2 linked regions of the Drosophila melanogaster genome follow. The protein of the gene in region 1 purifies or fractionates together with the protein of each later gene. This does not show direct contact. Each region holds a gene or a part of one and is shown on either strand. Other genes may lie near its edges.

Evidence for each region.
Region 2: the proteins of UQCR-Q (region 1) and UQCR-11 fractionate together in Drosophila melanogaster (co-fractionation; one study listed by BioGRID). This does not show direct contact.

Annotation. Positions count from the first base shown.
Region 1 is NT_037436.4:17,473,134-17,477,648, reverse strand, and holds UQCR-Q (Ubiquinol-cytochrome c reductase ubiquinone-binding protein), read right to left. Parts: upstream 2,601-4,515; 5' UTR 2,514-2,600; intron 2,430-2,513; exon of another isoform or gene 2,325-2,429; coding exon of another isoform or gene 2,262-2,324; exon of another isoform or gene 2,240-2,261; 5' UTR 2,230-2,239; coding exon 2,055-2,229; intron 1,999-2,054; coding exon 1,904-1,998; 3' UTR 1,525-1,903; downstream 1-1,524. Other genes in the region: CG34250 (uncharacterized protein), read right to left, coding at 1,023-1,080, 1,178-1,338; CG46525 (uncharacterized protein), read right to left, coding at 2,262-2,324; SecCl (secretory chloride channel), read right to left, coding at 3,271-3,513, 3,578-3,957, 4,203-4,358, 4,414-4,515.
Region 2 is NT_037436.4:25,118,680-25,122,452, reverse strand, and holds UQCR-11 (Ubiquinol-cytochrome c reductase 11 kDa subunit), read right to left. Parts: upstream 1,705-3,773; 5' UTR 1,635-1,704; intron 1,576-1,634; 5' UTR 1,552-1,575; coding exon 1,468-1,551; intron 1,410-1,467; coding exon 1,236-1,409; 3' UTR 1,082-1,235; downstream 1-1,081.

The DNA of each region.
Region 1 (4,515 bases):
TTGATTTATTTTGTGTGGTAAGCAATAGCTTAACTGCATTTGTTGGGAAAGTTTGAATGATCCGATGATGTAATTAATACATATGAATATGTATTAATCAATCAATTATTATTGTTTAATGCGTAAGTTGTGCTTGTAATAATGGTCATTTATTCACGGAAATTTCTAAGAAATGCATATGTTCTCTGATTATTATAAACTAATAATAAACTACTAAAGATGTAACTTTTTTGTTTATATTAGTAAGCTGTGAAGTTAGGTAGATTTTCAGGCTATATGAAGGATTAGACAGTTGCAGGACTATCAGTTGATGTTTAAGAATATTTATGGGATCCTTCATGTTCGTATAAGCAACACTAATCAGAAGAATAGGTAGACTTGTCTCAGTGGCTTATCCGAGGGCTTAAAGGTAGTGCTGCTATTTCTAGCCCTGCAATCAAGTCACGTTCGCTGGGTGTTCTAATGCAATATTTTAGCATAAGAGCACGTACCGCAGTATTGCATAAATTCTGAAAGTGCCGGGCAATGAGTCAGTACGGGATTGCAGAATGGAGCCAGCTGAAGTCGGGCGTCTATTGAATTCTAATGCTGCACCAGGAAGTGCGTGCAGACATTGGGCAATCAATCGCCGGTCAATTGGAATCGTTTGTGGATAGCAATTGAGTGTGATTGGATATGGCTTCTACTCCGGCAATTGGGGCAAAAGTTCAACAGTTTTTGGATGAGAATGCCTGTTCCAAGTAGGACTTACTTCGAGTATTCGAATAACCTATCTTATCGCAAGACAGCTTGCCAAGAATCACAGTCGCCTGATGATGAAATTAACAAATTCTGGGCTCTATTTTTTTCTTCTTTTTTTTTGCACGATCCGTGGAAGTCTCGGGGGCAGTCAAACCAGTTCACCCGGCCTTCGAAAACAATTATATTTTTGGGGTTGGGCGTGTTGTTGTGCAAACACCTACGAAATAACACGATGACCCTGAGACCGAAAAAAGCACGAGTACGTTCTAGCACCCAAAATATTACACATATAATGTACGTGACGTCACTGCCTCGAGGAGTGCTCCAAAAACCATAGAACTGAAACAAGATGCAAGGTGGCTTGTGGTAGTTATTATTAATCCTTAGCGTACATTACATTATGAGATATATTAAACACTAAACTGGATCCATCTACGTGACAGAAAAGCTGCGAAAATTGTTTTTCAGCAGCATGACCACGAAGAAAATGCCCACGGCAATCGACAAAAGCTGCACGTTGACCACCTTTGAGTCCACCAGGGCCTGTAGCATGTTGTGGATACTTTCGCTGCGCACTTCGTTACCGCAGCAGTCCATTAATGCACTAATATCGGATCAATAACCAATTAGAACGCCAATATTTTGCTTGCAAACAGCTGTGCGGTGGCTAGAGGTGGGGCTATTTACTTTTCTCACTCATCGATTGTTTCGGGTGACTTTCGATGATTGATTCTCTGCAACTCTAGCGGGTGACTATCAATGCTAAGACCGTTACCGAATATTAAAAACAAGTAAAATTTTTATTTTATTATTAAAACGTAATATATTGCCTCCATGTCGTGTTTTTTCTTTGAAATTCTCATCATATGAATTTTTTGTTATTTTATTTTGAGACATTGCAGGGCGAGATAGCTTGGACTCAAACCAAGACTGGGGAACAGCTGATGCAGCTGCTCATCCAGAAAAACAAATTCTCTCTAGAATTGTTTAGCAAACAGAGCAATAAAACTGATAAAATAGAACATAAAATTATCCCATGTGTAACGTATGAGTACAAAGCCTTTGGTGTTTAGCCTTCCAGCAACCGAAACACACAACTCTCTTGAACTGTGGGTTTAGTTTTATTAATTAGTTTAACATAACTATCTGCTAGTTGGGACGCTTATTCGTCGTTCGCGTAGTCAGCGGGGTTCTTGCGCAGCAGGGCGGTGTGCTTGCGTTCGGTCAGATCGTAGATCAGGTATCCCACGATGAAGGCTGAAAAATTGGGTATTAGAATACGATTCGACGGGAATCCTGAGCGATTTACTTACGGGGAGTAACGATGAAGACGTTGGAGCGGAAGCGACGCACCATGTTGGGCAGTCCCTTGCTGATCGCTCCAGCGAAGGCGCGCTGCTCGAAGGGCGACAGCTTGTAGGTGACGATGCCGTGCACCTTGGCCAAGTTGCCAAAATGCTGGCCATTCAGGATCGAGGATAGACGCATGGTTGTGGGGCTGCGGATGGGGAAAGCTTTGATTAGCAACCGCAGAGGAAGTGCACCAGGATTTGTATGAAGACACAGATCGTTATTATAAACATTATGGCCTAGGTGGTGCTCCTATATTTGCTGCACCCGGAGGTTATGTAATTTTCGCACTGCTCCGCGGATGAAGGCGGCCGAGTACGTCTAACACTGGGCGCGATCTCTGCACTTTTGGCAGCCCATAATTGTGCATATTTTTAGAGCCAGCACCTGCCATTGTACCGATTATGATGCCAAATTTTTACCTTGAAATTCGACTTTTACGCTGCAATTTCCTCTCGACTCGTCTCAACCAGTGTGACCGTGGACGGGCCGCTTGAACATACCAAGCAGTTAGGCTTTATTTTTGAAAAATGTCCTAAAAGTGCCGCTTTTTAAGATTGATGTCTTGGACAGAAGCTAAGTGCAGGCCACCACCAGAATGTGTAACTTTGTAGACTTTCAGCGTGGACTTGAACCTAATTTGTGTGGATAGCGGATCTTTAAACTATTAGTGGATTCTTATTAAAATATAACAATAAAATAATGTAAAACATAATTGCTTACCTTTGCCGTAATAAAATATGTGAGCGGCTTAAAAACTTAAATTTCGTGAACGAAAAGATTATATTTATTCAAATTAATAGACAGAATAGACACATGGAATTGTAAAATCGAGGGCTACTTATCTTTTTAACTTCATTTTCTGTGATTAGGCATACAAAGTATTCAAACTTGCCCACTAAAGATGGCACATTCATCTCAATATATGTAAAATATCATATAAATAATTTTATTGTATTCAAAATGCATTAGATTAAAATGAGTTGTCAAGCAAGAATACTTTTCCTGCCATTATTAGCCTTTTATACGAATGTTGAGATATAGTTTATACCTTTATTAATGATTAACATTTATACAGCTATGAGATGATGCATCTTACACTTTAACAATTATTTGCGCGATCAGGACTACGCAAATAGACAAGATTTCACATAAACGGCGGCATCTGCCTACATCCGCTTACAAAACATAGACGAAGGTCCAATACAGAGCGTTGAAGGCGAGGAACATGGCCGGAAAAAGAAATCGCGACCGCCGGTCTATCCACATGGCGATCTCCTGCGGTGTCATGGTGGTAAAGGTGGGCGGCGTGTCCTTTTTATCCTTGTCCACATCCACGATATGATCGTTGTTCGTACGCGCACTGCAGATAGACACTGTATCTGCCTCGGCGCACTCCGTTCTTATGATGGGTAAATTGGGCTAAGGACATGAGAAATGTTAAAATACAGAAAGCTCATGAAAGACATCGATCTGGAGTACTTACATGCACTGTCAAATAGTTGTTGAAGCCCTGATTCACAGTGCCATTGCCATTGCGCACGCTCTCCGTGCTGGAAACAATGTTGTCCAAACTGGAACACGATCTAGCCCTGGACTCGTTGCTCAAACTTCCGCCAATTTGACGGCGGGCCGGTCGTGGTGTCAATGTGGATTTTATGATGTACTTGCTGTTGACCTTCTTCAGCTCAATGTTCTCCTTGCGGCGCCAAATGGTGTTGACAAAGGCAAACTCCACCAGGCTGCCGAAGATGAAGAAGGTGCAGCCCAGGAACCACACCTCCGACACCTTTATGTAGCTCACCTTGGGCAGGTTCTTGCTCTGCGATGAGGAAAGCGTGATGAACGACAACATGGTGCTGGTTCCTAAGAGCATTGGATATTAGTTACAAGTGAGTCATATCATAATCATTTCGAGTTACTAAATTCTTTCTAAGATGTTGTAATTATTCCTTTAATTTAAGCAATCATTTATTCTATGACTCAACATGACGTATGCGCAATGTTCTAAATGAATATAACACATACGCACTGTGTTGCAGGTCAACAAATTAATTATGGATTTCGAATACGAAATGTTGCTTAAGTTAATAGTATTTAAATGTAATTACCCAGCATAATCCTTGGAGGAGATGCGTCCGCCTGAAGCCAGAAGGACACCCAAGAGATGGCCACGATCATCATGGAGGGCAGGTAATAGTCGAGCAAATAGAAGCCAATTTCTCGCTTCAGATTGACCGTAAAGCTCAGCGAACTATAGTTACCAGCTGCAAGGAAACAGTATTAAGAAATATTCCTCCAACAAACACCTCGTATGCTAACCAAAAGCTCCATGCCGCAGATTGTCCCCATCCGACTGCACAATCGTAGTGTTGTGCCAGAACTGGGCCATATTGTACTCAGTGAGCCTCATTTCCGGGTCAA
Region 2 (3,773 bases), 7.6 Mb from region 1:
ACTATATAAGATCGCAAGTCGCTAATTCAATTTTCGAATCCTTTATCCTGACTTACGGTCCATTGAAAACGTTCATGGGTACAGAGTATAAGCACTCAATAATCAACGATTTTTGCAAAAATTTTAAAATTAAAAATTTAACATTTACCGCTCACCACCATCTGAAAACTTATCAGTTGAATACATATCAGTTGATAAAACTGATTGGGACCTGTGGCTTCAGAATTTCGTACATTGTTTTATACAACCCGTTCTATAGTTTCCATATAGTTTTTGGCAGAGCAGCCGATTTATCATATAGGAAAGAAGGAAAGTAAATGAAGATTGGAAGTACCATATAAGAAAACTAGAACTATGCATGAAGAGTATAAATGAAAGAATAATGAAAATAATGACTTACACATAACAAAATAAAAATAGCAGTGGGAGATAGTTTTGTTATGAAATTAAGTAACTAAACAAAAAACAAGTAGTTCATAATTACACGTTAAAACTTTTTTATTCATAGTTGATGGCATCACTTAATGAAAACAATATCAATAAAAATAAACTAAAATAAAAAAGAAGCCCACTCAGTAAACTCATATTACTTTACTCAATACAAATACTTCAATGTATTATAAATATATACATACGTACAGACACATTTGCAGCGCAAATGCATTGCATAAGCGCTGGCAATGGAAAACATGGGCAAATGGTTCCACCTTTTAAATTTCGAAAATTCGATATCGGAATATCGAAAAAAACTGGCACCAGAATGTCAAAGAATAGTCAGTAGGGTCTGTTATGTTTTGGGGATGCGTAGCCTTCACTGTCTTGGGAGATTTGGTTCCTGTTGATGGACACATGAATCAAATAAAATATTTAGATGTCCTTAATAATAATGATGATGAATTGATTGGAGAGTCCTTCATACTCCAGCATGATAATGCTCCCTGTTATAAGACCAAACTGATTACTGTTTCTGAAAAATGTTTGCATAAAAACATTGGATTGGCCACCTCAAATTCCAGCCCTCAACTTAATAGAATACCCTTGGTTTAGTATTAAAACAAAGGCGTGCAAATACTTATGCCCACTAGTGTAGTATTACCTACCCAATTTCGCTTCTAAAAGGTTCTGATCACCAAAAGGCACAAAACACGTATAAAACTCGATAAAGAGATTTGTTTATTTATGTTCTTATTTTTAAGCACTGCCCTTCCCTTTAATGGAATTGACTTTAATGGTATTTACTTAAGCTTTGTAAAAAGACTGTGCGAAACGCAATGATCTAACTCAGCAACATAGTCAAATAATTCTTCGATGCAAGTCTCAGTTGTTTTGGATCGCCCATTAACACGATCATTGCACTCTTGGTACTTATTGTACAAGGATTCTATGTGACCTTTAGCTTGACATTTTTCCTGTTGCATAAAAATCAGTTTAGTGTTATATTAAATGATGTAAAGAAATCTTTTTTACCCTTAAAACTGCTTGAGGGTCAACTAAGTCCTCTTCGTCATCAGCTCTGACGGCGGGAAGCGAAAACCAGTTCCTAAAAGCCATTATTAATGCTAAAAAGAGAATAAACTAGTCAGAATTCAAAAACATATATAGTACCAAATTTTATGAATATGAACGTAAATTACATTTTTGAAAAATAACTATAACCTTTAAGACCGCTATGATGCAATCACAATGTATTTTATGTATGCCTGAATTATGAGGGCCAGACCAACAAAAACAGATTATTTTATGCATATATATCAATTAGCTAAGCTTATAGCCTAGCCCCAATAGAATACATCTTTATGAACCGTTTGCAATTTTACCTAGATGTTAAAATCTGTTCACACAAGGTACAATCAAAGCAATTAAAATAATTTTTGGCCAGTTGTCCGCCGTGACGGGGGTCAGATAATTTTTTTTAGGCTATAAACTTTTATTTAAAACTTTTCATAATTTTTTCCTGATTCCCTTGATACATGTTTTTGGAGGCAAACATTTAAAAATGACGTGGTGTTTTTAAAACGAAATTCAATCAGCTAAAAGCTGATAAAAAAAGTGGATAAAATATCTACTGAAAATTAATAATTACTAATTCGTTGTGGGCCAGAGTTGTCTTCTCTGTCTTTTTGGTTCTTTTTGCTCTAGTTTTTAAACAATAACTAATTAAAAGCAATCAAATAAATATATGCTTAAGTGATAGAAAGTTTTCATAAAACTGATGCGAAAACTTCTTTATTGATATATACAACTATGCGTGTTCTCTATAAAATTACACACACAAATAAAATTTGTATTGAATAGTTGTTGTAATTTGTATTTGAATAGGAACCATAGTGTGGTAAAAAGCAGAATAAAAAGACCTAAAATATTTGAAACTAACCTTAATTTTTTTATTAGTATGCGCGAGTACCTTCTTCAACCCGTGGACCATCCGCTCGCATACGCCTCCTGCCCGGCATTGAAATTTTCATTCCATTTAATTTGATGACAGTTCGTTCTACATCTTCTCCGTTTTGACTCCTCAATCTGGCCACCGGTCCACGGCAGCTTATAAAATTCCTCAGTGCGACTGTCGACAATTCCTGGGCCATCTTTAGACCCCGACTGCTGCTTCCCTGAAGTACACACACTTCCGACAGGAACGTGTACTGCAAGAAACCTTGAAGCAGCTCCTAATCCCGGGACTTGGCTGCGTCATTATAGATTACGTAGATTATACGTATTTTGGTAGGTTCATTTGGATTTTCGACACCGAAGTGTGGCAGACACTGTCACTGTCACTGTACGTATCATCTTGACATAGCCATTTTCAATTTCTCTGTATGCTGTCAATGTTGATGACCCTCATATTATAGCTGCCTGTCAGCCTCACCTCGTAATTCTTCCATAGCAGACCAGTTAAGGATTGTAAGCCCACAGTAAACTAAATTCCATCAATCCTACAGAACCGCGCCATATGTCCCTTTTCTAAGCACAGAAAATAGATTCGATGCTTCTTTGCAAAGTTTATTCGAGACATTAGAGACGCATGAGTAAACAAAGACACTAGAATAATTTTAAAAAATGAGGAAAACCTAAAATGGTTCAAAAGTGTGTTTTGGGCGTTTTGTTTGTGTTTGCGTGACCAAAGTGTCTTTGGTATGCCGATTAAAATGCCGGAAGACAAACAATAAAACGAAGAAGAATCAAACATTTTTCAATGGTAAGGTCGGTTTTGGGCGGTTTGTTCACGCTAGAGTGGGCATGGCAAAACTTTTTTTTTTGCAAAATCGATAAAAGACTAATATTAATACGAAATAATATAAAAACATTTTTAAAAAGTGTGGGCGAGGCAGTTTTTGGCGGTTTGTGGGCGTGGCAAAAAGTTTTTAGGAATACCGTTAGAAATTTACAAAACTAATACTGTTTAACTAATAAGCTCTTCTATTAGCTATTTGCAAAGAAAAGACGATTTCTATGCAGCGATCTCGAACGATAATTTATTTTTTTATCAATTGCACGGGTCCCACGGCCACACCTCCCGCCCAACCGACCGAGTGGCGCTGTCGTGTATTGTTTATGCATAAATTACTAAAGAATATGATGAATAATTGGAGAGCGACTTATTTGCAGAGGAAACAGCAGAACTCCAAGTCAAAGGTGTAGGTGCGACCAAAGACACTAGAATTGCATGTGGTATTGACTTGACCGACGCACAGCAGTTCGTAGAAGAGACTAGCGCCAATCATTAAGTCTATGGGTAGAAAACGATGACACTTTGGGTCCGCGAGCGTCAGATT